Linked DNA regions of Arabidopsis thaliana. The protein of the gene in region 1 purifies or fractionates together with the protein of each later gene. This does not show direct contact. Each region holds a gene or a part of one and is shown on either strand. Other genes may lie near its edges.

The links.
Region 2: the proteins of COL1 (region 1) and COP13 purify together in Arabidopsis thaliana (affinity purification with western blotting, with the first as the bait; one study listed by BioGRID). This does not show direct contact.

What each region holds. Positions count from the first base shown.
Region 1 is NC_003076.8:5,169,884-5,184,423, reverse strand, and holds COL1 (CONSTANS-like 1), read left to right. Parts: upstream 1-6,526; 5' UTR 6,527-6,950; coding exon 6,951-7,667; exon of another isoform or gene 7,668-7,776; coding exon 7,777-8,127; 3' UTR 8,128-8,333; downstream 8,334-14,540. Other genes in the region: AT5G15870 (glycosyl hydrolase family 81 protein), read left to right, coding at 1-1,783; PCME (prenylcysteine methylesterase), read left to right, coding at 3,161-3,438, 3,700-3,776, 3,910-3,979, 4,109-4,189, 4,449-4,523, 4,620-4,721, 4,814-4,951, 5,041-5,106 and 3 more; AT5G15853 (uncharacterized protein), read right to left, coding at 6,117-6,317; CO (B-box type zinc finger protein with CCT domain-containing protein), read left to right, coding at 11,727-12,488, 12,722-13,081; AT5G15843 (uncharacterized protein), read right to left, coding at 12,042-12,195, 12,513-12,629, 12,728-13,086, 13,376-13,413, 13,521-13,530. UniProt on the Arabidopsis thaliana protein: Putative transcription factor that may be involved in the light input to the circadian clock but does not affect flowering time.
Region 2 is NC_003076.8:4,591,712-4,607,552, forward strand, and holds COP13 (Proteasome component (PCI) domain protein), read left to right. Parts: upstream 1-6,156; 5' UTR 6,157-6,258; coding exon 6,259-6,455; intron 6,456-6,637; coding exon 6,638-6,753; intron 6,754-6,853; coding exon 6,854-7,100; intron 7,101-7,236; coding exon 7,237-7,294; intron 7,295-7,381; coding exon 7,382-7,471; intron 7,472-7,671; coding exon 7,672-7,737; intron 7,738-7,890; coding exon 7,891-7,980; intron 7,981-8,068; coding exon 8,069-8,227; coding exon of another isoform or gene 8,228-8,275; exon of another isoform or gene 8,276-8,319; coding exon 8,320-8,441; intron 8,442-8,622; coding exon 8,623-8,695; intron 8,696-8,778; coding exon 8,779-8,850; 3' UTR 8,851-9,124; downstream 9,125-15,841. Other genes in the region: AT5G14230 (ankyrin), read left to right, coding at 172-471, 1,916-2,191, 2,291-2,428, 2,523-4,064; AT5G14240 (Thioredoxin superfamily protein), read right to left, coding at 4,512-4,684, 4,877-5,082, 5,183-5,326, 5,610-5,857; AT5G14260 (Rubisco methyltransferase family protein), read left to right, coding at 9,428-9,793, 9,911-9,986, 10,148-10,353, 10,434-10,520, 10,621-10,713, 10,928-11,082, 11,172-11,256, 11,353-11,439 and 3 more; AT5G14275 (uncharacterized protein), read right to left, coding at 13,078-13,296; BET9 (bromodomain and extraterminal domain protein 9), read left to right, coding at 13,462-14,571, 14,652-14,700, 14,787-14,894, 15,220-15,281, 15,572-15,638, 15,714-15,797. UniProt on the Arabidopsis thaliana protein: Component of the COP9 signalosome complex (CSN), a complex involved in various cellular and developmental processes such as photomorphogenesis and auxin and jasmonate responses.

The DNA.
Region 1 (14,540 bases):
CATCTCTTCCTTCAGCGATCTCGGCGTCACTCTCGATTTCCCCTCCTCTAATCTCAGATTCTTCCTCGTTAGAGGAAGCCCTTTCATCACCTTCTCCGTTAACTCCTCCATCACAATCTCAACGATCCACGCTGTTTTATCACTTTCCGGTAACACCTCTTCAACAAAGTACACCGTCAAACTCAACAACAACCAAACATGGCTAATCTACGCCTCTTCTCCGATCAATCTAACCAAAGACGGCGTTTCTTCAATCAATTGCGGTGATGGGTTTTCGGGTATTATCCGGATCGTCGTGTTACCAAATCCAAATCCGTATTTCGAAACAATCCTCGACGGATTCAGTTGCTCTTACCCAGTTTCCGGTGACGCTGATTTCACAAAGCCGTTTGCTTTAGAGTATAAATGGGAGAAACGAGGCTATGGAGATCTTCTAATGCTAGCTCATCCTCTTCATCTCAAGCTTTTATCAACCAACGATTGTTCTATCACAGTTCTAGACAATTTCAAATACAACAGCATCGACGGTGATTTAGTAGGTGTCATCGGAGATTCATGGGTTTTAAAACCAGACCCTGTTTCTGTTACGTGGCACTCTATCAAAGGAGTTCAAGAAGATTCTCACCAAGAGATCATCTCTGCTCTAATCAAAGACGTTAACGCTTTAGATTCATCAGCTGAGGTCACCAACTCTTCGTATTTCTACGCGAAATTGATCGCGAGGGCGGCGAGGTTAGCTTTAATAGCTGAAGAAGTTTGTTATCTGGATGTTATTCCAAAGATTAGAACTTACTTGAAGAACATGATCGAGCCGTGGCTTAATGGAAGTTTCGGACCAAATGGTTTCTTGTATGATCCAAAATGGGGAGGTGTGATTACTAAGCTAGGATCTAGAGATTCAGGAGCAGATTTTGGGTTTGGGATTTACAATGATCATCATTATCATTTAGGTTACTTTGTTTATGCGATTGCTGTGCTTGCAAAGATTGATCCTTTATGGGGGAAGAGATACAGACCTCAAGCGTATACTTTAATGGCGGATTACTTGACGTTGGGGAAGAAAGGAGCCAAGTCGAATTCGAATTACCCGCGTTTGAGATGCTTTGATCTTTTCAAGCTTCATTCTTGGGCTGGAGGGTTAACGGAGTTCGCTGACGGGAGGAATCAAGAGAGTACAAGCGAGGCTGTCAATGCGTATTACTCCGCTGCTTTGTTGGGGCTAGCTTATGGGGATACACATTTGGTGGCGGCTGCTTCGATGGTTCTGACGCTGGAGATTCACGCGGCGAAAATGTGGTGGCAGGTGAAAGAAGACGACGCTATTTACCCGCAAGATTTCACATCGGAGAATCGTGTGGTTGGAGTGTTATGGTCAACAAAGAGAGACAGTGGCTTATGGTTCGCGCCTAAAGAGTGGAAAGAATGTCGCCTTGGGATACAGTTATTACCGTTACTTCCGGTATCAGAAGTTCTGTTCTCGGACGTGACATTCGTGAAACAGCTCGTGAATTGGACAATGCCTGCTTTGGCTAGAGACAGCGTCGGAGAAGGGTGGAAAGGATTTGTGTATGCTTTGGAAAGTATGTACGACAAAGATGGAGCAATGGAGAAGATTAAAGGATTAAATGGGTTTGATGATGGGAACTCTTTAAGTAATCTGTTGTGGTGGGTTCATAGTAGAAACAATGATGATGATGATGATTATGAAGAAGACGATGAAGGTGGTTATGGTGGTCATGGCGGTGGCGGGAAGTATTGTTCCTTTGGTCATTATTGTCATTAAGCTTTAATAAAAAGTTGTTTGCGTTTTGGTTTGTTATTAATCAATGTTAATTTTAGCTTGTTTTATATAATGAAGCTTCATATAATTGAAATGATTCGATGATCTTTTCAAATCCTTTCTTCTTAATTACACCAATGATCTCTCTATGAGAATATCCACATATATACAGAATTCTATATGTCTAAAGTATTATAAAGGGAAGAATCAGTCATGTGCATGTATGGTTTGTGTATCAAGTGAATTCTGTCATGATCTTGAAACTCCTTCTCCAGAGAAGCTAAGGCTGCTTCATAATCATTATGGTTGTTGATATGTTCCATTGCAAACTCATTCAGATATAATAGACATCCCTTGTCGTTATAAGGGCATATGATTGATTCTTCTTCTTCTAATGATCGTTTCGCAGATGCGAGAGGGATATATAATGATAAGATAAGTGTTACCGAAAGAACGTAGAGAGTAGTACATGGAAGCACAAATCTAGACGTCATGGTGTTTTTAATGCTTTTGAAGATTTCAAAAAAGAGATCAAAGAATATGGCCACAAACAAAATCTGAACAAGATAGATTGTGATTGGACTCTATATATAATAGTCGATGACCAAAACAAAGTCTTTTCCTATTTTTAGTTGGGATCAAGTTGGTTTTTTTGTGGATAAGCTAGTGCTTCATGATCATCGAGTAATAAGTTTTTTTTTTCGTTTCAAGAAAATATGTTTTTTGTGTGGATTTTGTTTCTGATGAAATGATGGAATAGACGTGGCTGCAAGTTTGGATAAGGTGGCTCGGCTCCACTCCGGTTTATCTTTTGTTTACCCAAATATAGATTTGTTTTGTTTTGGTCACTGGTAATATCGAAGTATCGAATACGTCTGTCTGTGATGCTCGTATAAAATAAAACCAGTGGTATGGTTGTAGTGGTTGGTGGATCGTGATTCGTGAACTTTCTCTTAGATTCGGAAATATTCGTCACACTTTGGGCCCACGAGTTTTAGCATTTTCCGAACGTGGTAAAGCCCATGATTTGCTAATACTAGCTTCCAAAGTCGTCACACTACTCCATCCAATCACAAATGAAATGACTAACAAACATTTTAGAATAATCAATATTTTGCGAATAATTTCATTACTGTCTGACATTTGATTCTCTTTAATCACACATCATTACATGATCAAACGTCATCAATAAGAGCTAAGAACGTCGTCGTCTTGTACAAACTTTTGGTTATATCTACACACTACTTTACTACATTCCTCGTGTAGAAGGAAATGGAAAGCGCACAAAAGCGAAGATAACAAAAAGAGTTTGAAATTCAAAAGAGAAGAGCAACACGAAGAATCTTGGAATTCGAGATCCACTATTTCACGGCGGAAAAGATGCATTCGCCTCTTCAGACTCAGCAGCCGGAGCAGCGATGCTGGCCGATGACCTCGACGGTATCGGAGATCGAGGAAGTTCTACCCGATGAGGACTCCGATAGAACGACTCTTCTTAACGGTGAACCGTTACGTCGTCGAGTTTCCGGGAAGTCGCCGGTTGACGAAGGACCTCGTCGGATTTTCCGGCAGCAATCGTTCGGTCGCGATATCGGCCACGCGGCAGCTGAAACGTATCTAATTACTGGACTTAGCTTCAAGCTTCTTCGATACCTCGGGTACTGATCTCGATTGTCCCTGTTTTTGGATTTAGGTATATTGATGATTACGCTTAGGGAGGTAATTCGTGTAGATATTAGCTGGCTTTGCCTTGCTCTGCAAAGAATCCAATGATATATAAAAGTTCTCTGTCTTTTATTTTGGAACTTTACTCTAATTATGAAAGTTACTCCATGTGCTGTTGTTTTGCTCTTGTTTAACTTCTTCTTTTTATATTTCCAGTTGAGCAAGGATTGATCTAATTGTTAAGTTTTGTTCAGGGTAGGCTATCGATGGATGACAAAATTACTTGCCCTTACATGTTATGCTATGCTTCTTATGCCTGGCTTTCTTCAAGGTTTGATTTTTTTTTTTTTTTCTTTGCTGATAAATAAATTCATAGAAAGGATTTTTCCTTTTGATTAAGATGTTGTTTTAATTGGAAAATTAGTCTTTGATTCCTCGTCTCAAGTTTGTATTATCTTGTGCAGTTGCATATAGTTATTTTTTCTCAAAGCAAGTCCGGAGGAGTATAGTGTATGGAGATCAACCAAGGAACAGGTTTGTGTGTGAACTGAATAGAATCTTACCTTCTCCTTTCACATCGGCCTTAAGTGGTATGTTGAATGCCTGCTTTTATCACATCACCTTTGTCTTGAGATTATTGATGTATGAACGGTGATTTGATAGGCTGGATCTGTACTTGCCAAGCAACAACGATGGCTTGAAGCCGGTTGTGGTTTTTGTGACGGGTGGAGCTTGGATTATTGGGTGGGTTGCACATCAGATTTACAGCATTCTCTTCTGCATAATGTTGAAATTTGTTTGTTTTACAATTTCTCGTGTCCCACTTATAGAAGTTTTCCCCTTCACTGTTCTTTTGTTGATGTTTGAGTTACAAAAAGAAAAAAGTAAAGATCATGATGGGCTCTGTATTCTTATCTCACTGACTCACTCAAGTTTCATCTTCTTGTACTAGCTGGTTGCTTGTTAATAAGTTCATGTTTGCTAATCTTGTACTGATATTTAGGTACAAAGCTTGGGGCTCGCTCTTGGGAATGCAGCTAGCAGAAAGAGATATCATTGTAGCATGCCTTGACTACAGGTAAACAAATTACACAATTCAAAAAACTAGTCGTCTTTTATGAATATAGGAAGAACTTTCATGCATTTACCAAGCAATCCGTTCTTTATGGTATAGGAACTTTCCTCAGGGAACAATTAGTGATATGGTGACTGATGCTTCTCAAGGAATCTCATTTGTCTGCAATAACATCTCTGCATTTGGAGGTGACCCCAACAGGTTTCATCTCATTGGCTTTGTTTTTATTTACCATTTGATCTTCCAATTGGTCTCTCGGCTATTAAACTGCATGTATCTGCTTGTCTCTCTAGGATCTACCTGATGGGGCAATCAGCTGGTGCCCATATAGCCGCTTGTGCTCTATTGGAACAAGCTACTAAAGAATTAAAAGGAGAGAGCATCTCCTGGACAGTGTCCCAGATAAAAGCTTATTTTGGATTATCTGGAGGGTATCTTCTAAGCTTTTGGATTCCCGTTGGCTTCTATGTGCTTTTTGGTCTACAGCAATTGATCTGCTTATCATTTTGAACTTCAATAGGTACAATCTATACAAGTTGGTTGATCACTTCCATAATCGGGGTCTGTATCGCTCGATTTTCCTAAGGTAAATGCTTGGTTAACCAAATCCTAAACGCAGTCTGATCAGATCTAATGTTCAACTCCAACTTGCAGCATAATGGAAGGAGAAGAGTCCTTTGAGAAATTCTCTCCGGAAGTAAGACTGAAAGACCCAGTTGTTGGAAAAGCTGCTTCTCTTTTACCTCCTATTATACTTTTCCACGGATCCTCAGATTATTCCATACCATGCGATGAAAGGTATATATGATCATCTTCTTGAAGTGATACATTACTGATGAAACCTTTTGGGATACTAAAACCACCTCGTTTGCAGCAAAACTTTTACAGACGCTCTGCAAGCTGTTGGAGCAAAAGCCGAGCTTGTTTTATACAGCGGAAAGACACATACTGACTTATTTCTTCAGGTAAGCCACATAAATCAGTCAACTTACCTTACATTGTGTCACACACACAAACACTTAGCTCAGTGTGAGTACAATAAAACTCATGAGAGTATTGTTTATAGGATCCCTTACGAGGAGGTAAAGACGAACTCTTTGATGACATAGTCTCTGTGATACATGCGGAGGACAATGATGGGCTGACCAAAGACTCGTTGGCTCCTCCCAGAAAGCGTCTTGTACCAGAGTTGTTACTGAAACTGGCTCGTGAGATTAGCCCTTTCTGACTGCCAAGAAAGGAAAACAAGCTTTGTTTGTTGATCCTCAGTTTTTACCTTTGTTAGTTGCTGTGTTTTTAATTGCATCAGTAGAACATCATGTAAATAAAAACAAACTTTGTTGCTCCACCAAATTTATTTGACCCATGTAGATTTGAACACATGAATATGATTACTTCCACAAGTTTGAAATCTAATAAAAGCTAGTAAAGATAATATCGAGTTTTATCATATTCTCAAAAAGGTGATTGAGATGTGACAAACACTTGATAGACTTATACATGTTTTGTAACTATGAAATATGATGGTGATCATAAGCAAATTGGACTTGTATAAACAGACCACAGGTGATGTTGATATAACTATCGTTATTCACCTTAATTTGGACCCACCATTTGCTTCAACTTGTGGCTCCTAATCTCTAGAGACTCGTAGCGACTTGGCAGATTCCAATTGGCTCCTTGGATCTCCACCGTTGGCCAAATCAGCTTGACCGACTTGATGTGGAAGGAAACAAAGTTAGGACATGCCATATCTATTATCTCCAACATATCACCAAAAAAGACACCTAGCATCATTCGAAGATAACAAATGGTTAAGAGTCATAATCTTTTTAACAATGCTAAACAGTGATCATTTAATTTTTATAATTGAAATCATGAGACGATGAGAGAAACCTGAACAGTTAGAACATGGCAAAAGTTAAGAATCAAGATAAACATTAGGCTAATGGTCAAGCCAAAGAGCTACTAAAGTTTCCAGCTTTACCAAAATAGTAGTAGATGATACAAAAATAGTTAGAAGTTGCACGTTTCAGAACCTAGGTAACATGTGGATGGGTCCTATAGAAGATTACATAGGAAGAGGTGTTTACACTTATTGAGGAAGAAAGAGAGAAAAAGTAGTAACTATTGGTGCCATTGCAAAGATATAAGAAGACAATTAGTTTTTTTCTTTCTTTCACATTTCGTGCTGGTTGATGATTCCAAAGCTGTAAGCATCTCTGCACTGGACCCCTTCTCAAAAACTCAGCCAGCCACAAGATGATCACTCAACATCAAACCCACAAACTTCTCGCCACGTGTCCAGCCCTCAGAATTCTATCCTTCCTTTCCATTTCCATTCAACAACTAATATAGCCTTCTTAGTCCCCTGCTGCCTTTACATACGATCTCACTCACCATCAAACAACTACAACATCTGCGGTTAGTATGTTGAAAGTAGAGAGTAACTGGGCACAAGCCTGTGATACATGCCGATCAGCCGCCTGCACCGTGTACTGCCGGGCTGATTCTGCCTACTTGTGCTCCAGTTGTGATGCTCAAGTTCATGCTGCCAATCGTCTTGCTTCCCGCCATGAACGTGTTCGAGTCTGTCAATCATGTGAGCGAGCCCCGGCTGCCTTTTTCTGCAAGGCAGATGCTGCATCTCTATGCACAACCTGTGATTCAGAGATTCATTCCGCAAACCCACTTGCTAGACGCCATCAACGAGTTCCAATTCTGCCCATTTCTGAGTACTCTTACAGTTCCACGGCCACTAACCATTCATGTGAGACAACAGTGACAGATCCAGAGAACAGACTTGTGCTTGGTCAAGAAGAAGAGGATGAAGATGAAGCAGAGGCGGCTTCATGGTTGTTGCCTAATTCAGGGAAAAACAGTGGTAACAACAATGGCTTCTCGATTGGGGATGAGTTTCTGAACCTTGTTGATTATAGTTCGAGTGATAAGCAATTCACAGATCAATCCAATCAGTATCAACTAGACTGCAACGTACCTCAGAGGAGCTATGGGGAAGATGGAGTTGTTCCACTTCAAATTGAAGTATCAAAGGGCATGTACCAAGAGCAACAGAACTTTCAGCTGAGTATCAACTGTGGCTCCTGGGGAGCTCTTCGAAGCTCCAATGGTTCCCTCAGTCATATGGTAAGCTTTCATATATTTAATTCAGATCCGTTACTATGACCAGCATGCTGCTTCTTTCACACAAATCCATGAAGTAAATTTCTAAGAATGTCTTTGTTACTGTCATTAGGTGAATGTTTCATCTATGGACCTGGGAGTTGTGCCGGAGTCAACAACGAGTGACGCAACAGTATCAAACCCAAGATCGCCCAAAGCGGTAACAGACCAACCACCTTACCCTCCAGCTCAGATGCTCAGTCCAAGGGACAGAGAAGCTAGAGTCCTGAGATACAGAGAGAAGAAGAAGATGAGGAAATTTGAGAAGACGATAAGATATGCTTCAAGGAAAGCGTATGCAGAGAAAAGACCACGGATCAAGGGCCGGTTTGCAAAGAAGAAAGATGTCGATGAAGAGGCAAACCAAGCTTTCTCCACAATGATAACATTTGACACCGGATATGGAATTGTTCCATCATTCTGATGCTGCTATGGCAAAACTAGACTGCATGCTTGTAAATTACTTCTGGTTTGAAATTCCTGCAAGTTATTACCACGGTTTTATGCATATAGGGTCTGTAGTTTACTAGTTTTGCCTAACTAGTACGAGTTAATTAGATATACACTCATACTTAGCTGCTGTAAGTTAATACAAATTTTGCCCACTTGGTAGAAGTCCTCTTATCTATGAAATACTGCCCTACAGTCTAAATTCAAACTGATGCTACAAAGAGATATGCATTAGTATAGCTAGCTGTACCAAGAACAGTCAACACGTAACTCACCTTGCCTAAGTTCAAAGTTAATGATTCCTTTCTTGGTGACACTTTCCACATCACTTTATCACGTAGAAGATAAATGATTCCACTTATGCCGCCCCAAAGACAATTTCGCACATCCCTGAGAAAAGAAAGTTGTACTCAATATGATTTTATACCAAAAGTAGATTACAGAGACAAGTGTAAACATGTAAAACTCCAATAAAATCACACACTGAATAGTCAGGTAACAAATAACCAAGAATCCTGAGTGAACAATGCTAATAGGTACAATTACATCAACGCATATTCTTGTACTGATTAGTGATTAGCATTGGTGCTAAATCCATTCCCACGAGGTTGTCTCGGATAACAAGATTCTATCACTCACAACCACTACTAGCAGAATATGTCAATGCCTATGGACCATCCAAATGAACAAAGATATTCAGTGTGAGAAATCTATTTCTTGGTCTATCTTTTAGAATAATAGCTCACTTTTTCCAAGGTATATACTGGCACTAAAGAATAACGACGCAACCAAAAGAAAAAGGGTGACACTGTAAAGCCTTCACTTTTTGCCACCTGGAAAGGGCCAGAGATCAACTTATTTACCACTAGGATAGCTTCCCACTTCAACGGTTAAGCTGATGAATTCATGTACCAAATCAATACTTTTTAGCCATAAATGAGTCAGTTTTAGTATCCACATGAATTTACCTACCAGAGTGTTGTAAATTATGTTCTTTTGGGGCCACTTACATGGATCTCATTCATTCACTGCAGCGAGTTCTCAGACCACCAGAAAATTTATTCAGTGATCTGTTTTGATCATGCAACATAAACTTATAAGCCACACAAGCAAAACAAAGATATCCCATGTTGCATATAATACGAGCTAGCATATCATAAAGAAGGAAACTTGAAGTAGCAAAGTTTCTACTAAATTTCTTGTCAGGAATTTTTAAAATGCAATGACAACCACTTGGAGCACTATGAGTTTCAGAGCCAATAGAATGTTACTATTTGGTGTGGATTCGAGCTAGCACGTGAAAGTGCATAAAAGTGATTACCTTTTGCCAAAGGTCACTGCACTTTTCCTCAGATAGTTTCTCACAGCCATGGAAAGTGGAGAATCCGCATAAACGTACAATTACAAGCTTTATATGGTCCCTCGACTCTTATTCTCTTCTCAGTCTTTGCAACTAAATAGGGTTTTCGTTAATCTGAAAGAAGCAAAGTATTCGAAACCACGGAAACCTGATAAAGAATGAAAACAAATAAGCAATAGTGTTTTCTTGAAAATCTCGATGCAACTTTGAGGATATTGTTACATATGATCTATTACTCGTAACAGTTATCCGAAGGCCTACACATGTGAGAGAAGTTCCAAACCGCTACAACAATAAACTTAATTAGAGACTGTCAACGAGCAATAATAAGCAAAACTACTTTTTTCTTGAGCTACAAGTGAAAAGGCCAATACACAATTTACTCTTCATGAACTCGAACCACGTTACAATCTCCAAAAAATTTCATCACCAAAGCACTAAAAGCCAAAGATGCCTCAACTTATCCAACTTGGCAGGATAAAGATCTCCAAAAATGCTTACTAAAGAACCTAGAATCTTTTCTTTAGAATTCAATGATCATATAACCATTTCATAACAATTCTAAATGCCATTACATTCATCGTAAAACCAGTAAATAACAAGAACTTGTATGTTAAGTTCCAATTACCAAGCAAAAAAAAACTTTTCAAAGTTTAAAGTTCAAAATGGGAAAGAGAAGTGCGGTGTAAGCAAATATGAAAGAGGAAGAGATGCGAAAAGTGTATCCTAGGACCAGCATTTTATACAAAAAAAAAACACTCACTTTTCAGCTCTTAAGGCATAGAGTGAAGGTAGCCATATGAATTTGGCCACTAGAGCGTCCGTCAAATCTCATTCTTTTTGGACCACATAATGGGTATCATACATTCACTGGACCCAAAAGCGTAACTGGAGCTAGTCCTCAAACCTAGAGAGTATCGTATCCTGTAGCTTCCACATAGTAAACATTATGAGCATAACACCAACAAGGCAACTCCAAGTACTAATGGTTATTAGTACAGGAAAACCCACGATGCTAAACACATGAATGGGTCACCAAATAGAGTGAAGATGGTTAAATTGCATCTATGGATCATGTGGACTAGTAAATGAGTGTAGCAGAAAACTTCACAATTACCTCTGTGATCTTAGAAACATGTCCTGAAAATTCCATACAAGTGTCGTTTGTATTAGATTACTTCCACAGGTTGAGATCTAATAAAGCTACAATAAATAGTATAGAGTATCATCATAAACCCAAATTACAGAGATGTGACAACACTCATGAGTCATGTTTTGTAACTACTTACTATAATGGTTACCAAGTGCAAATTTCTACATACTATATATGATAAATCTAATTATTGCTCATGTGGACTCCAAAATGCCTTTTAAGTTTTAACTTGTGCGTCAGGTAAATTCTAATTTGTAGTCTCAAGACTACTTGGCGGATTCGAGTTTGATCCTAGAAAATCCACCGTCTCTATGTTTTTCATGTCACTTTTCCGATATGATTCTCATTACCATGACTTTATGAACCAGATTAAACATTATAACACTTTTCATCAGAAAATCCTTCGAAAGTTTCAATTGCAAATCTTTCTAAATGATGCAGATGCATTCACAAATAATGGAACAACAACTATACCATATTCACGAGTTTGTCTAACCTTTGTATAGGTAGTCAACCCATAACAGTTGGTGATGGCTCTGACACTCGAAGCCTTACTCGGAGAGATACCTGAACAGTAATCACAAGGTTCAGGATGAATATTCAACCACTTAAACTTTGTATAAAGCCAAAGAGATAAAACGAATCTAGCTTTACTTTAAATAAAATGCATATGAAAATAGTAAAAGGTGATACGAAAAAATAGTAACAATTTGCCTGCAACACCATGGCATTATCCGGACCACTTCCTCTTGAGAATCTCAGTATGGCAAGTGGCAAAACCTAAGCAACTTGTGAACGGGTCCCAACGAAGAAGTGCATAGGAGGAGATGTTTACACTTTACACTTTACACTTTACACTTTACACATAGGCCTTCCCAAAAGCTCAACTAGCTGCAAGAGGATCCAATAACATGTAAGAGCCACTAACGCTGTGCCACGTGTAGGCACTCAGGATTCGATCTCCCCTCTACTTATTCTCTCACACCAGATATAAGCTTTATTAGCCCCTTCTTTCAGATACCAGCTCCCACACCATCAAACTTACTACATCTGAGTTATTATGTTGAAACAAGAGAGTAACGACATAGGTAGTGGAGAGAACAACAGGGCACGACCCTGTGACACATGCCGGTCAAACGCCTGCACCGTGTATTGCCATGCAGATTCTGCCTACTTGTGCATGAGCTGTGATGCTCAAGTTCACTCTGCCAATCGCGTTGCTTCCCGCCATAAACGTGTCCGGGTCTGCGAGTCATGTGAGCGTGCTCCGGCTGCTTTTTTGTGTGAGGCAGATGATGCCTCTCTATGCACAGCCTGTGATTCAGAGGTTCATTCTGCAAACCCACTTGCTAGACGCCATCAGCGAGTTCCAATTCTACCAATTTCTGGAAACTCTTTCAGCTCCATGACCACTACTCACCACCAAAGCGAGAAAACAATGACCGATCCAGAGAAGAGACTGGTGGTGGATCAAGAGGAAGGTGAAGAAGGTGATAAGGATGCCAAGGAGGTTGCTTCGTGGCTGTTCCCTAATTCAGACAAAAATAACAATAACCAAAACAATGGGTTATTGTTTAGTGATGAGTATCTAAACCTTGTGGATTACAACTCGAGTATGGACTACAAATTCACAGGTGAATACAGTCAACACCAACAAAACTGCAGCGTACCACAGACGAGCTACGGGGGAGATAGAGTTGTTCCGCTTAAACTTGAAGAATCAAGGGGCCACCAGTGCCATAACCAACAGAATTTTCAGTTCAATATCAAATATGGCTCCTCAGGGACTCACTACAACGACAATGGTTCCATTAACCATAACGTAAGGCTTTTGTATATTTGTTACCCCTTCAATTTAGCATCTTCCCATAACGCAGCAGGGTGAATTCTTTCATCATACACACAAATCCACTGATCCACTGCCAACAGTTGATCTATAGCACATAGAAATTTCACCAGAAGTCTATAATAAAAACAATATATGCTTCCTTTTGCATCGACTCTCTTTAGTCCTCTTACCAGGGGGATTGAGAATGTCTTTGTTTCTGTCATTAGGCATACATTTCATCCATGGAAACTGGTGTTGTGCCGGAGTCAACAGCATGTGTCACAACAGCTTCACACCCAAGAACGCCCAAAGGGACAGTAGAGCAACAACCTGACCCTGCAAGCCAGATGATAACAGTAACACAACTCAGTCCAATGGACAGAGAAGCCAGGGTCCTGAGATACAGAGAGAAGAGGAAGACAAGGAAATTTGAGAAGACAATAAGGTATGCTTCGAGGAAGGCATATGCAGAGATAAGACCGCGGGTCAATGGCCGGTTCGCAAAGAGAGAAATCGAAGCCGAGGAGCAAGGGTTCAACACGATGCTAATGTACAACACAGGATATGGGATTGTTCCTTCATTCTGATACTCCTGTGGCAAAAAGAAAAACTAGATTGCAAGCTGTAAATTACTTTTAGTTTGAGATTATGTTAGGTTTGGTGAAATTCTTAGCTTCAAGAAGTATTACTACTGTTGTGCAAATGGGTTTGTAGTTTTGGCTAATTAAAACTATAGTATTCTTCTTTCTCTGCATTAGTTAAACAAAACCAGTCTAATTGGTACAGATCCCCATTTGTGAAATATGGATCATCAAGAAGTGAAAACGCAGATTTCACCTTGCTAACTACTAAGAGGGAAGCCAAGGTTCAAAGCCAATAACTTCCCGATAACCTGAACATGTGACACTTTCACGCCTCCCTGACAACAAAAAGATTCTACAATTCAAGTTGATAACACAGACTCCTCAGCTGTAAATCACAACTTCTTACTAAAATGAGTCATATCACGTTCCTAATTGTAGAAACCATCAGCCATATATGTTCTCGGCTTCAAGAACTGTAAGAAGAAATAAGTAATAACAACCAAGTGTATAGCTTATACTATGTGTTAATGTTAAGTGATGGATTCGAGACCTCACGTGAAAAGTTCATAAAGTGATATAAGGATGCTGCACTTTGCACTTTTTTGCACTTTTCCAAAAATCTAAGGATAGTTCAGATCGATTCTCAAAGCCATCAAATTTTAAAACCATTCCCAAACTTTACATGGTCCCTGGGCCTTCATAGATTCTCACTCTTTTAACTTCTTGCTTACAAAAAAAAAACCATTCTCCTTAATCTGAAGTAGGAAAAAGTCTGCAACTACAGCATGAGTTTGACAGAAAAATTATAACACTCTGCTTTCTAAGGTTCTTATCTTGCTTCAATGACCATATACTAAAATAGCAATTTCCTCCACATAATCCACAAAAAACTTTGGTGTCATGTGAAGAAGGCCTGAGAGTAGTTCCTAACTAACCAATAACCATTACAAAGGAAATCCACAGACTGACTAAGAAGAAGTAAAGACAGAACAAATGAAAAATGCCAAAACAGAACAACACAAGCACAGCTATATCTGAACACGCCTTAAAACACCATTTAATATATAATCATCTCTATACTTACCAGAGAGTCAGAAACCAGTATAAACCCTAACATTTATACAAATCGGAATCAGTCACCATCAAAATATAAACCCTAACATTCATTCAAACTGATTTTCGATAAAGAAACTTACTTTCAACCCGTCACAATAGATTTGGGATGATTTTGGATAAATTTGAGGAAAAATATGCGAAATTCAATAGATTGAATATGCAAGGGTTTAAGGATGTGAAATTCAATAGATTGAAAAAACACAATTTTTTGCTCAATTAGATCCAAATTCATCCCAGATCGATTTTGTCTGACGAGCTGAGATTAAAGGAGTTTACCAGAAAACCCCAAATCGGGATTGTGAAGTGAAAAGCCCTAAATTTTGAGCGACGATCGATCATCAAACTT
Region 2 (15,841 bases), 580 kb from region 1:
AATTCTCACACTCTTCTTCTTCTTTCCCTGGCGCTCACTTCTTTTCAAGTCTCTCTCTTCTCTCTCGAGCCTCGCGTCTGTGTAAAGAGACAAAACATATTCTCTAAAGCGGCGACGTTTAAGAACATTCGGTCAACGACTTACGGCGGCGTTGGAATCAAAACTCCGACAATGACGGTTTTCTCCGGCAGACAAGTCGTTCCGATGGATTACGAAGCCGAGGTATCACAACGGCTTCTAGAAGCCATCCTCGACGGAGATTTCAAAACGGCATCGGATTGCGTCTCCGATCCACTCGTCGACGTTAATTTCGTCGGCGCCGTCAGCTTAAAAACAAGGAGGAGCGAAGTCGTCCTCCGTGATGAGTCTCCCAGCGAAGTCCGCGTCGAGTACGAAGAATTCAAAACCGATGTAACGGCGTTATTCCTCGCCGTTAATTTCGGAAACGCAGCTCTCGTGAAGGAATTACTGGTAATTATTTTTCTTAATCCGAGTTTAGCCGTTTCTTTAACGTTTTTTGCTTTAAGATTTTGAAACCGATAAACAAAATTTGCATTGATTTAAATCTGTGCAATTAATTATACAATTCGACGTTATTTATTAAGCAAATCGGTTTCTAATAATAATGCTTTTGATGTGAACAATATTTGTAATTTAATTTTTGTGCTTTGTTTGAAACTTTTGCGTTACGTTCCATTAATGGAAGACGCAATCTATGGAGAATTGGTTTCCTCGTGATTTCCATTTTGCGTTTGTTTTTGCGCGTTTCTGCTTAGTGGTGTGATTCGTGGTACCTTTTTGTCTCTTGAATTAAAGACCCCAAATATATGTTCTGTCTGAAGCTTACTTTACTTTTTCCTCTTTTTCGAAATTCAAATTTCGAACGAACGCTGATTATTACTTCTCTCTGCCTTTTCTATGAAAGAAATTATTCCTGTAAAATTTTGGTAAATTTCAATAAAATTTTCGATCTAATGATAATTAATCAGAATGAGCTAATTCAGTGGCGTTTACTAGCACTTGTCTATACTTAGCTCTAGTCATTTTTTGTTTTTTAAAAAACGTGGATCGGATTCCGTGAGAGTTTTTAAAAATTCATAATCTGTTGACTAACTTTAATCTTAACTGGTGGAGTGTTAGGATCCTTCCAAGCTGCCAAAAATGTTATACTAATAAATTACATCTTTTAGCGAGTCAAATTTGCATGTCAGGCGGGGATTATTTTCCAATTTTGAAGTCAGTCACACAACTTTTTCTTTTGCTTGCATCGTCACAGATTTACTTTTATTGAGATTCTCATTAGCCTTTGCTAGACCATATATGCTAATGATGGATTTGCGATTAGATTTGAAATCAACAGCGTTAGTTATATTAGGCTAAGATCTGGGAAAAAAACATGTGCATTTGGATTGGTCTTCGTTGAGGGATATTTTGAGACACAACAGTGCCAAAATGTCACTATTGGTTTGCAGTGATAATTGAATGATTTGATTTGATTCTCTCTTGTTTTCCTGAAAGGAACTTATGAATATTTAGTACGACAAGAAGTGTTGATATAACACCATGTAACTTGTTTGTGAAACAGAACCTGAGGCCCCGCCCCATTAGGTGTTGTCACTTGTCATTGGCTGCATCTATAGTAGACGAATACTATATTTGCATACTTCCATCTTTCCTTTTAAGCCATGCTCCTCTGTGTCAGGGTTGTTCCCTAATGTTCATGTAGATCCATTTTCAATTATTCACTTTGCATTATTGTACAACTTTACTATTATACACAGTTTCTTTTGTCTTCTTCTGCCTCTGGATTTTCACCTCACGTGGTGTCCTTCGCACTTAGCAGTGTAGTAGCTTAAGAAAATATTTTCTAATTTTATAACACTGATCTGACTTTTCCTGTAATATCATCTCACAGAACATTGGAGCTGATGTGAACCAGAAGCTCTTCAGGGGATTTGCAACAACTGTTGCTGTAAGGGAAGGTCATTTCGATGTCTTTGAGATTCTACTCAAAGCTGGTGCTTCTCAGCCCGCTTGTGAAGAAGCTCTAGTAGGGGCGAGCTGTCACGGACGCTCGAGGTTCGTTGAGCTGCTTATGGGAACTGATCTTATTCGGCCTCAGGTTGCTGTGCATGCTCTCGCCACTGCTTGTTGCAGGGGTTTTGTGGACGTCGTAGGGACCTTGCTCAAAGTAAGTTCTTCATTTCTTGTGGTTTTAAAAGTGACCGGTTAGAATTGTTCAATAGCCATCTTACAGTAGATAATTCTTCATGTTTTTGCTTCATTACAGTGTGGTGTAGATGCTAATTCAACCGATAGGCTTCTTCTTCAATCTTCGAAACCTTCTCTTTACACAAATGTAGACTGTACAGCTCTTGTTGCTGCCATTGTCAATAGGCAAGTCTCTGCTGTCCGCGTCCTACTACAGGTAATTTTGGCTCTGCAAAATTGAAAACTTGTTCCCTGCAAGGAGAGAGTATGTATCTAAGACATCAAAGCTTTTCTTTCAATGATATGCACAGGCTGGCGTCAAGACAGATATCATGGTGAGGCTTGGAGCATGGTCATGGGATACTAACACTGGAGAAGAGTTTCGGGTGGGAGCTGGAGTGGCTGAGCCCTATCCTTTAACCTGGTGTGCTGTAGAATACTTTGAAACTAGTGGCGACATTTTGCGTTTGTTGCTCAAACTCCAGTCTCCAAACGCTCTTCACAACGGTCGGACTCTTCTACACCATGCTGTCCTCTGTGGCAACAAGGCAGCCGTCAGTGTCCTCCTTGACTGTGGCGCCGATCCAGAAGCTCCTATCAAAACTTCACGAGGCATTGAACTCAGACCGATTCATATTGCTGCACGTGACGGATCAGTGGAGATCATACAACAACTCGTTGGCTTTGGCTGCGATATAAACTCGAAGAATGATGTAGGGAACACAGCCCTGTTGATCTCAATAAAACACAAACATCCAGAGTGCGTCAAGGTTCTCGCCCTTGATGGTGCTGATTTCGGTTTAGTGAACAAGTTTGGTCATTCTGCTGTTTCGATCGCTGAGTCAAACAAGTGGTCTCTTGGATTAGAGCGAGTAATTCTTGAGCTGATCCGGTTCGGTGTTGTTCCACATTCAAGCAACGCTTCAGTATTCTCGCCTTTGCTATATGGGGCTCAAGCAGGAGATGCTGAGGCGCTTAAAGCGCTTGTAAAAGCTCAAGACATCTACCTAGACTATCAAGATGAGGAAGGCTTTTCGGCTGCAATGCTAGCGGCCATGAATGGCCACGTTGAAGCATTTAGAGTCTTAGTCTACGCAGGCGCAGACGTGAAGCTGTATAACAACTCTGGCGACACGGTAGTCTCTCTGTCTGAACAGAACGGTAACCGTGACGTGATAGAGAAGGTGATGCTCGAGTTTGCTCTCGAGAAGGACAGCAGAAACATGGCAGGCGGGTTTTATGCTTTACACTGTGCTGCACGGCGTGGAGACGTCAAAGCAGTGAAGCTTTTGAGTGGAAAAGGATACAGTCTAGACATCCCGGATGGAGATGGCTACACTCCGCTCATGCTTGCAGCCAGAGAGGGCCATGGACATATGTGTGAATACCTAATCTCCTGTGGCGCAAACTGCAATGCTAAGAACGGAAGAGGGGAAAAGCTGCTGGATCTCGCGACTGGTGATGCGGAGAAGGTGATCCGTAATGAGTTGTCTCGGAGGTTTGTGATAGAAGGAAGCAGTGTGATGAAACACACCAAGGGAGGGAAAGGAAAGAAGCATGGGAAAGGATTGAGAATGTTGGAATCAAGTGGAGTACTAAGTTGGGGAAAGTCACGGAAGAGGACTGTGGTGTGCAAGGAAGTAGAGATCGGGATGAGCCAGCGGTTCAGGAAGAACCGTAAGGGGAAAGGCGATGGAGCGGAGGAGGAAGGGATTTTCCGGGTAGTGACTACGGAAAACAAGGAGGTTCATTTTGTGTGTGAAGGTGGGTTGGTGTGTGCAGAGATGTGGGTGAGGGGAATACGACTTGTGACCAGAGAGACAATTTGTGGAAGAACTCAGACTCAGAATTAGTGTTGTTTATGTATGTATATAAAGAAGTTTTGAGAAAGGGAGCTTCATTTTGAAGGTAGTGTGCTTCTATTGTGTTGGGGATGTTTATAGTTCTTGGGTTTGGTATCTGCAGTATATTTGTGAACTGTGAAGTAGTTCGAGTTGCACATGAATGAAAACTAAAACATCTCAGTTGATTTGAGATTCTCCAAATTTGATTATTACTTTGTCCAAAACAAAGACTATTCTAAACTTACATGGATTCACAGGCTTAGATCCAGCACTAAAATTCGGCATGTGATACCTGGATATCAAAAAACAACATGAAGTTCCTGTCTCTTTCAAAAGAACAAAAGTTACAAAATGTTTAAAAAACATTACATCACACAAGAAGTCAGCACTTTTGTTTACCAGTCACCAACTCAACAAGCAATAACCAACAGAGATAAACAGAGAAGCTTTGAAGTTCTAATCACTATTGTAACCACCATCATCGTTATCCTTATCTTCGTGGTCCTTCACCACTCGTTCTATGAACTGTCTTCGAACTCCAGCCATCACAGCTTCCCTCGAGGAGTCATCGTCTCCTCCTTTGCCATCGTTAAGAACTGGCTCTGATTGACACAGAAGTAAGGCTACACCTGAAAAACCAAATCAGTTGCAAGTATGTTAGACATGTGCCTAAGACCAATCTGCTCAAAGCATGATACAATCGCCAATGTGGTCACATCAGGTCTCAGATCAGACAAAGGCTAGAGATGAGACATGACATAATCATCAAACACAAATAAGCACAGATTACATCAGACAAACAAGGGTTCATTCAAACTTACTCTCTGGGGTGCACCTACGGCCAAAGCTCTTTAAGCCTACATGAGTTCCTTTGATGGCGCCATGGTGGTACACCAGCAAGGTAGGAAGATTGCAATCAGGGTAGTTCGGAATACAATCAGTAGATATTATCTTAACGAACTTTGTTGCTGGGTATCTACTACCCAATTCGTCTAGACAACCCAATAGCAAACTACATTCTGCAACACTATCAGAGAACAACAAGAAATAAACATGAGTTAATAGTGTTTCAAGCATGTAGTAAAGAATGGCTCAACAAGAGTTCACGAATACTTGAAAAAACATACCCATCTTTATAGAGACATACAACAACCCAATCTTCAGCAGAAGCTTGCGTAACCTCCCTCACGAAATCAGAGCCCGAGATGGGAGTCACTGTTCCATATCTTTTAACTTTAGCAGCCTCTCTTAGCTCAGACAACCTCTTCTTCCTATGAAAGCATCAAAACACATTAGTGCCTGTGAATCATGAAGTGTGTTGCACAATTATGTTTAGCCTATTCATCAACATCTCAAATAAGATACTACCCTCAATTGCATTCATATCCAAAACACAAACGAATCGAGAAAAACCAGAGCTTGATAATTGCATTCCCTAGCTACATGGCAACAGATCCGAGAAAATTGAATTCACAATCCACCAAGGCAAGGATTCTCCAGGGAAAGTTAAGATTGTAAATACAAAAATCAGAATGTTCGATTCGATCTACGAACCTGTATTCTTCGAGAAAGCGATCATCGTCGAGATCTTTGTCGTCCTCAAGATCCTCAAGCTCCTCCTCTGTCTTCTTATCAAACCATGCCTGATCCTTAGGAGCTGAAGACTCGTCTTCCGCCGGAGTATACGCCGGAGGTTTGAAAGCCGGAGCCTTCTCCGGTAGATTCCCCAATTTCCGCTGGATATCATCCCATTGAGTTGACGCTCCTTCAATGTCCTTATACACGAAATGATAATCCGCCATCAAAGTATAACCACCTACGAAGCTTCAAAGAGAACCTTTGAATCTGAGAGGAGAAAAAGCAGATTGCTTTGACACTCTGTGATCGCAATCTCGTTCTTTCTCTGGAAAGACGAATGATAAAAGGCCATCCCCGAAATTGGTCTGGCTAAACCGACAATTACCATCTGGTACATTTCGAACCGGGAATATTTGGTTTAAAAGCCGGTTAGATATTGGTTTATTATTCTAGAGTAATGTATTAGACTCTTAACCGTTCGGAGGGTTCGTATATATATTATGAGAGCATGTATTTTTATGGAGAAGATCCAGAGATAATTAAACAAACAGTTTAGCAAAAGATTTTGAGAGGGAGAAAAAGGGCGATCGATTAGGGTTTTTGTGTTTTCGTCTTAGTATCGAAGATGATCGGAGCTGTGAACTCGGTGGAGGCTGTGATAACGTCAATCCAAGGTTTATCGGGGAGTCCAGAGGATTTATCTGCACTTCACGATCTTTTGAGAGGAGCTCAAGACTCGCTCCGAGCCGAACCAGGTGTTAATTTCTCTACTCTTGACCAGCTCGACGCCTCGAAGCACTCTCTCGGTTACCTGTATTTCCTGTGAGTTTTAACCTATTGGTAGATTAGGTTTTTGTTACTAGTTTGTGTATACTTTGAGGCTGATTGATGATTTTGGTTATTGGAACTTGATGTGTGTGATTAGGTCGAAGTTTAACAAGGAGAATTGTCTATGTTATTCGATTTCTGATCTTTGAGTTTTTTGTATGGTTTGATTGTTACAGTGAGGTTCTTACCTGTGGTCCAGTGTCGAAGGAGAAAGCTGCTTATGAGATACCGATAATTGCACGGTTCATCAATTCTTGTGATGCTGGGCAGATTCGTTTGGCGAGCTATAAATGTAATTTACTGACACTTAATGAGAGCTTATCTTGTCTTAATGTGTTTTCTTTTCTTTTTTCTTTGGGGAGATGGATGATGTTATTATATTGATTTTGCAGTTGTATCTCTTTGTAAGATATTGAAAGACCATGTTATAGCACTGGGAGATCCGTTGCGAGGAGTAGGGCCACTGTTAAACGCTGTTCAGAAGCTTCAGGTCTCCTCCAAGCGTTTGACTGCATTGCATCCAGATGTTCTTCAACTCTGTTTGCAGGCGAAATCGTACAAATCTGGTTTCTCCATTCTTAGTGATGATATCGTGGAGATTGACCAGCCAAGAGACTTTTTTCTCTATAGCTATTATGGGTAAGCAATTTTTCCTCATTGCTATCTGTTTTTTTCCTTTGATCAATAGATGTGTAAACACATTAAATCCATCCCTGTTGGGTTTGTTTTATAGTATTTTCTTATTCTGGTCCTTGATTACCTGGACTTTTGATAGGGGAATGATTTGTATTGGACTGAAGAGATTTCAGAAAGCATTAGAGCTTCTTTACAATGTAAGGCATTTTTATTTTTTCTTACGTGCTTTTTATACATTAAGGACTTTCGTTTTAGTTTTAACTCAACCTAAGTACTTGTATCAGGTTGTGACTGCTCCTATGCATCAAGTCAATGCCATAGCTCTTGAGGCGTACAAAAAGTACATATTGGTGTCTCTCATTCACAATGGGCAGGTAAGGCTGTGTTCTTTATATTTTACTTTCTTTGTTTATCTAGTTTTCGGTCATGGGAGCATATTGCACGAGTCTGAATCAACTGTATGTTTTTGAGAAATGTTGGTTTCACAATTACATCCTGTGTCTGATTTTAATTTCAAGCATTGGTTAATCTTATGATGTTTTTCTTATAATCTTGTTTGATTTTACTTGTGCAGTTTACTAACACTCTCCCCAAGTGTGCTTCTACAGCAGCACAGAGGAGCTTCAAGAACTATACCGGAGTAAGTTTGAACCCGATCATTAGTTGTATTTTTCATGTTTGAATGGAGTCTGGTCCCTTTTTCACTTCAGTCCAAAGATTTCAGTTGTTTTGTACTCCATACCAGCTAAATCTATTTTCAGGCTTATGATTTTATCGTTCACCCTTTTCTCAGCCTTACATTGAACTGGGTAATTGTTACAACGACGGGAAGATTGGTGAACTAGAGGCATTGGTTGTGGCCAGGAATGCAGAATTTGAAGAGGTAAATTGCCTCTAAACATTTACCATAGTTTCTGTACCAATATTAAATATTCATCCCCTTCCATAACTTGGGCGAAATGCTCTTTCAGGATAAGAACCTTGGATTAGTTAAGCAAGCAGTGTCATCCCTTTACAAGCGTAACATTCTGAGATTGACACAGAAGTACTTGACCCTGTCGCTTCAAGATATAGCCAACATGGTCCAACTTGGTAATGCTAAGGAGGCGGAAATGCATGTGCTTCAGATGGTATTGTGTCCCACACTTGATTTTTGGAAGCTAGCTTTATTAGTTTAACTGGTATGTTGGACAATATCATTTTTTTCTTTACAAACCTGCAGATCCAGGATGGTCAGATACATGCCCTTATCAACCAGAAAGACGGGATGGTCAGATTCTTGGAGGACCCTGAGCAGTACAAATCTAGTGAGATGATTGAGATCATGGATTCTGTTATACAAAGGTATGTCTACAGAACTAAGTGTTTTGATATGGTTTTTTTTTGGGAAACATTGCTTGAATGTTGAAACTCGTAATAAGGAGTGCATAATTAGCACTTGGAATCAAGTTGATATGGAGATGACTGTTTTGCCAAAGGAAAGTAGTAGCATCAAACAAGTTATGTGTTTTGATAAAAATTTCAGGACTATTGGTCTGTCGAAGAATCTCTTAGCCATGGATGAGAGCTTATCATGTGACCCTTTATACTTGGGAAAGGTAATTTAATACCATATTCCATTAGTCTTCTGTCCTGGAAACCCATGTTTCTCTGACTAAGCCGTTTGACTACTTTTTTTCAGGTAGGAAGGGAAAGACAAAGGTACGACTTTGGAGACGATTTCGATACTGTTCCTCAGAAGTTCTCCATGTAAACAGCGAAAGTCGAGAAGCACCAACAAAACTTGGCTCAAAGACAACCGTAGTGTGAATCTTGAGAATGTTACTTTTGATTTCTTTGTTCATTTTTGTTGGTTTAAAAAGTTTCATATTTTTGTCACAATTGCCAACAAGTAGAGAAGACCATTATGGACCCTCAAATCTTTTATTTCCCTTTTACTTAAAAAATTTTCCCCTTGCGCGTGTATCTCTCGTGCTAACTTACGCGAGCGTTTTATCATTTGCAAGGGTTAGAGAAGTCTCAACGGCGTCGTATCAAACTCGTTTTTAACTGCGTGTCGTTTGGGGAATCTGATAGACTCCTTGTTGTGGTGGGCTAGTTTCAGGCCCATTCTCGCTAAGCGCCACGTAGATTTTTATTTCTTTACTCATTTTTTATGTCGCATCTTCCCCATTTCGTTTTCAACCTGATTTCTCCATTTCCCTCTCTTATCCTCAATGAAAAAAATAATCTGAGAAAACGCAAAAGAAGAACGGAGCAAAATCCTCAGAATCGTCGCCGGAGAATCTTTACGTTTCGACATAATCGGAATTTTGGAATTGATAATTCCGATGGAAGGGGTTATCACATGTTTCCATACGAAATGCGTCTCTCTTCCAATTCGTTCTTTCCCACTTTCTAGGGTTTCTTCACTTCCTCGGTGGAGGAACAATAAATTGATCTCTTCATCGCGATCGGTTCATCTAAGAAGCTTGTGCGTTTCGAGCTCAGATACTTTAGTCGCGAGCGGTTCACCAAAGGAAGACGAGAGGCAGAGCAAAGTATCGAGCAAGAAGGAAGGAGATGACTCCGAGGATTTGAAGTTTTGGATGGATAAGAATGGGTTGCCACCTTGCAAGGTTATTCTCAAGGAGAGACCAGCTCATGATCAGAAGCATAAACCTATACATTATGTTGCTGCTAGTGAGGATCTTCAGGTGGTTGACTTAGCATTTCAACAGTTTTATTTGCTTATACACAGTTCCATAGGGTATTCCAAGTATCAATTTCCGGGTTTTGATGGTAAATTTTTCCTAATTACCTGTCTTTTACAGAAGGGTGATGTGGCGTTTTCAGTTCCTGATTCTCTGGTGGTTACTCTGGAAAGAGTTTTGGGAAACGAGACTATTGGTATGAGACATTCTCTATTATGTTTCCTATTCCATAAAGCTACTTCATCAGTTATGCACTATAATATTTGGATTAGACTTTGTGATTTCTCTTAGATAAGGGTGGGATTACGGGTGTTTTGATTCTTGTCTGAAGCCATATAAACTCTCTTTATCACACAGCTGAACTGTTGACGACGAACAAATTATCCGAACTGGCTTGTCTAGCTTTGTATTTGATGTATGAGAAGAAACAAGGAAAGAAATCAGTATGGTATCCCTATATAAGAGAACTTGATCGTCAAAGAGGAAGAGGTCAGTTAGATGCGGAATCCCCTTTGCTGTGGTCAGAGGCTGAGTTAGATTACCTAACTGGTAGTCCTACCAAGGTATTGCGTTAGTATATGCCGGACGTGTGATGAACTAGTATAGTGGGTTCTTAGTGGTTAACTTCTTTAACATGGTTCAGGCCGAAGTTCTTGAGAGGGCTGAAGGGATCAAAAGAGAATACAATGAGCTTGACACTGTCTGGTTCATGGCTGGATCTTTGTTTCAGGTGTTTGGCTACCTACGATTTCGGCTTCTTCTTGTCATTTTAATATATGGAATGCTAAACATCGGCCTCGGACTTACACCATTTTATTTGTGTTTTGCAGCAATACCCATTTGACATACCAACTGAAGCTTTTTCATTTGAGATTTTCAAACAGGCATTTGTTGCCATTCAGTCATGTGTGGTGCATTTACAAGTAATTTTCATTCTTTTGGGGTTTACTTTTCACAACTTGAATGTCTTTCTGTATTTGAAAGAATAGTTAGAGTAAAATATAATAATATGGTCTTACCTCTATTACTCTATCGCTGAATCTAAAGTTTAGCTTGCAGCTCATCATTTAAGCAAGTAGTCAGGTGGTGCTTGTTGCTTCTTCTAATTTAGATTGTTATGCTTCTTCTTGTACTCAGAATGTCGGTTTGGCTCGTCGGTTTGCTTTGGTTCCTCTTGGTCCTCCCTTGTTGGCCTATTGTTCCAACTGCAAGGCAATGCTTACTGCTGTTGATGGTGCTGTTGAACTCGTGGTAGATAGGCCATATAAGGCCGGGGATCCTATAGTTGTCTGGTGCGTCTGTAAGCCAAATTGCTTCCTACAGCTAGCTTTTTCATTCTGATCTATTTTTCATACTTTTGCATTTCCTCCTTTATTTGAAGGTGTGGGCCACAACCAAATGCGAAATTGCTTCTGAACTATGGATTTGTTGATGAGGATAACCCTTATGATAGAGTAATAGTTGAGGTAATTACAAAACTTTGTTGCGTTACTGTAAACACTAGTGTAGTGTTCATGTAATTCCTCACTGTTTGCATGTTTTATGCGTCATACACATTCAAGGCAGCGTTGAACACTGAGGATCCTCAATACCAGGACAAGAGAATGGTTGCTCAAAGGAACGGAAAATTATCCCAACAAGTATTTCAGGTATGACTTTCCCATGGCAACAAGTCTACTTTGAGATGTTCTGTCTGATTTTGGTTTTGCATCCATCTCAGGTTCGTGTGGGAAAAGAAAGAGAAGCTGTTCAAGACATGCTTCCCTACCTGCGGTTGGGTTACATGTCTGATCCTTCTGAAATGCAGTCAGTAATTTCATCCCAAGGTCCAGTTTGTCCGGTAGGTAGAGGATGAGTGACCTGGCAAAACTTTTTTCTAAGTAATCTTTGATATTTCCTTGATTGCATCAAATGTTCAGTCCCTACATGTGAGGCCTCCAATGTTACTGCTACATAGAAAGTTGTTGACACACTTGTAAAGGTTTAACTCTCAAGCTCTTTTGTAGATGAGCCCTTGTATGGAAAGAGCAGTACTAGATCAGCTTGCTAATTACTTCATGAGACGGTTATCTGGCTACCCTACTACTCCGAAAGAAGATGATGCATTGGTATGTCTTTAGACTTTGTGATCGCTACAGATCAAACACATTTTTTTGTTTGGTTTTCCTGCATGACATGACATTGATAGAATTCCCAATCAACAGTTGGCAGATCCTAGTTTGAGTCCTAGGAAGCGAGTTGCAACCCGGCTTGTCCAACTGGAGAAGAAAATACTAGTTGCATGCCTTACGACAACAGTTGATCTTTTAAATCAGTTGCCCGATACAGCCATCTCTCCATGCCCAGCACCATATGCTCCTTCCTTGAAATAAAAAGGCACGTATCTCTGCCCCCTGCCTCTCTCACTTAATAACTAATATTTTCTGACCTTCTAAAACTATGTTGGTTCAGGTTCGTGTTGTAGCTGCAATTTGTGGGACATGGCAGGAGTAATTTTTGGTCGTGTCCTTGATCATTACAATCTGAGGTCGCTTAACTACGGTCAGTTTTTGTGTGTACAAGTCTAGATCTGATCCTTTGCGGCTCGAAAACATGACTAGGAAGTTTCCAAAATAATTTTGATTTTGTAAGATTTCTTGCTAGCTACAAAGCCGAAATCTATCTCCTTATAGATGGTTTATTGTTGTTTATGAATTCAGAAGTTGATGATTTCAAAGTTTTAATGCATTGCAAATTGCAATTGCAGGTAGATAAGGGTACTAGGAGCGTTATCTGCCGCTTGACACGCAAATGTTTCAGCATATGATTGTCCTTTTTTTCTTACAACAATGAAGCCTTAAGTCGCATTGTTCAAAGTGTACATACATGAATGAACCTTCTTGTTCTTCCCCAACTCCCTCTGTAATGTTTTATCTCTGTTTTAGAAATTTAGAATTTATCATTTCCAAAAAAAATGAATAACGAAATTGAGCATTTTGTCCATTGGATACAAAAACGTCAGGACGAGCCGATAGAGTGAACAAAAACGGCAAGCGGTTCGTTGAATGCGTTGACTCATAAAAATCTTCGCATCTAAAATATCTATTGGTGTCTCACTACACTAGTCACTAGATCTGTTCGATTAAAATCCGACGGTGTTTATTGATTGTTCCTGAGTGTTCCCGTACCGAAACTCGTTAACCGATTCACCGTTAAGTGTGGAATCAGACAGTGAAGAGATCAACAGATATTTATCTCTCTACTTCTCTCGGTCGTATTCGTCATTCTGCCTTTTATCTATTTCCATATCAACATTTTAGGGTTTTTACTCCTCTAAGGTTTCGCTTCTTCTTAGATTCTCTGTCTTCCGCTTCAGTTGGATCATCGATTTTCTCAATTGCTCTGAAGTTCAGCCGGTGAGTTTCTTCCTTTTCACGATTTTGGTGTTTACTTCCATCGGGCAATTCGAAGTCTTCATTGCAGGACGAGTTCAGATTTGAATCGCTTAAATTAGGGTTTTGAATCATCTATCTACTATCGGATCGAGATTATCTGATTTAGAGTCATAAGAGTCTTCGGAGATTAGCTTTCTGAAGCAAATCCGTCATACGAGATGTTTCGTTTCCTGCAGGATTAGACTGATCCGGAGCTCTTCACGAGATTAAGGGAATCTATTTCACAATTTCGTCGATATGACAGAGAGAAACGGTGGTTTCCCTGGTGATTATTGTTTTGAGGCACCCGGTGGAGATTATGATGAAGGATCTGATAGTCCGAGGGTCTCAGAGGGTTCCAATTGTTCAAAAAGAAAGGTCGGTGAAACCTTCGGTGTCTCGAAAATGGTATTACCCTTATCTGGCCTATCATCATCAGATAGGAAGGAGTTGATTCGTAGGCTAAGACAAGAGCTGGAACAAATACGAGTTTTCCAGAAGAATTTTGAGCTTTCTAGAACAGTGGCTCTCACTAGCTCTTCTGCTAGTGGTTTGACTCGAGTCAAGAGTTTTGGAATGTCGCGATGTTCCACGGGTCCAGGAAAGACGGTGAACCCTATAAGTGCTGCTTCTAAACCGACTCCTGTCACTACTGCGGTTATGCTTCTGATGAAGCAATGCGAGGCGCTTTTGAAACGATTGATGTCACATCAGTATGGTTGGGTGTTCAATACTCCAGTGGATGTTGTCAAGCTGAATATACTGGACTATTTTAATGTTATTGAGCATCCTATGGATTTAGGAACTGTGAAGAATAAGTTAACTTCGGGGACATATTCCTGTCCGTCAGAGTTTGCTGCTGATGTTCGGCTTACCTTCAGCAATGCAATGACGTATAATCCACCTGGTAATGATGTTTATGTTATGGCTGATACACTTCGTAAGTTTTTCGAAGTGAGGTGGAAGACCCTTGAGAAGAAATTATCCGGAACTAAAGTTCATACTGAACCGAGTAACTTAGATGCCCATAAGGAAAAACATATCGTAATACCTGTGCCTATGGCTAAGAAGAGGAAGACCACTGCAGTAGACTGTGAGAATGTCGTAGATCCTGCTAAACGGGTTATGACTGATGAGGATAGACTCAAGCTGGGCAAGGATTTGGAGTCCTTGACTGAGTTCCCGGCACAATTAATAAATTTCTTGAGAGATCACAACTCAAATGAAGGAGGGATTGGGGATGATGAGATTGAGATTGACATTAATGATCTCAGTGACCATGCCTTGTTTCAGTTGCGGGATCTCTTAGACGAGCATTTGCGTGAGATCCAAAACAAAAAATCAAGTGTTGAACCCTGTGAGATAGAGGTATATCTTCGTCTATATCTCATGTTTGAATCATCTAATTGCATCATCACTGCTAATAGGGAAACTTTTATCTATTGCAGCTTCTGCATGGATCAGTGCCAGGGAATTCATCAATGCAACATTGTGATGGTTAGTTCACAGCCTGCTTGTGGTTCGATAAAGTTTTTTGCTTGGCTCTTTAATCAGAGTAACATTTTTTACTGTATTCGTTGTAGGGAGTGAATTGGATGATGAAGTTGTTGACATTGGTGAAAATGAACACCCAACATCCAGCATTTCTCCTGTCACGATAGAGAAGGATCTGGTGTTAGGAAACTCTAATGGTATCTTTTCTTTTGCTTGTTTATATTGACATTCTTGTTCTCCATAGAACTTTTGTTGGGGTATGGTTGTTACATTTGTCATTTCCAAACTCTCGTGACCTCAGATTTTCTCAGAAGTGGCCTTGGAGCCATATTGTTGTTGATATGCAGTGAACGTTGCTAGCGCACTTATTTTATAATTTTTAAATTAGGAGGCCTTTTACATTCACTTGTTTACTAACTAAAACTAAATTGCCTTTCGTGTTCCCTTTATTGATTTTATGGTGATTAGACTATCCCCTGGGTTGTACTACTGATTGCTCCTCTTTTGATGCATATAATCTAGGTAATAGCTTGGGAAGTGTGTCCGGTGATCCTAAAATGTCAAGTTTACCGAGGGCATCAAAGGTATATAGTGGTCTGGAATAACATGCAAACATGAATAACTGAGATTTGGTGCGACACAATGCATATGTCGATGTGGATATCTTTGTTACCTTGTCATAAAGTTGATATAATTTGATATGGAGGAACTCTTGGACCACAATTTTTTACTGTTGCGGAACCATAACAATATGAAATGGATGTCATAGTTTGTTTGAATCCTGATATATATAAAATTCAACTTACTTGATGGTTCCCAGATTTGTTAGGATAACCTAATTGTTTCTTCGTGCTCCTGTCCTGCGCTGATACAGGGGCTTGGAACCATCGATCTTGAACCTATGTTGGATGGAGCTACAAGCGCTTCCCCAACAAGAGGATGTGAGTGGATTTTTTGTTAGTGGTCAAAAGTTTAGTTTTTGGGTGTGGAACTTATGTTTTGTTGCTTTATACAAGTAGCATCTGTTGGTGGATTGGATCAGCTGGAAAGTGCATCTCCGGAGAAAATAAGTTCTGTTGAGGCGGATTGTCAGCAAGATGGTAAGAAAAGGAGTATGGCAGAAAAATGTTTCTGCTCTTCTGTC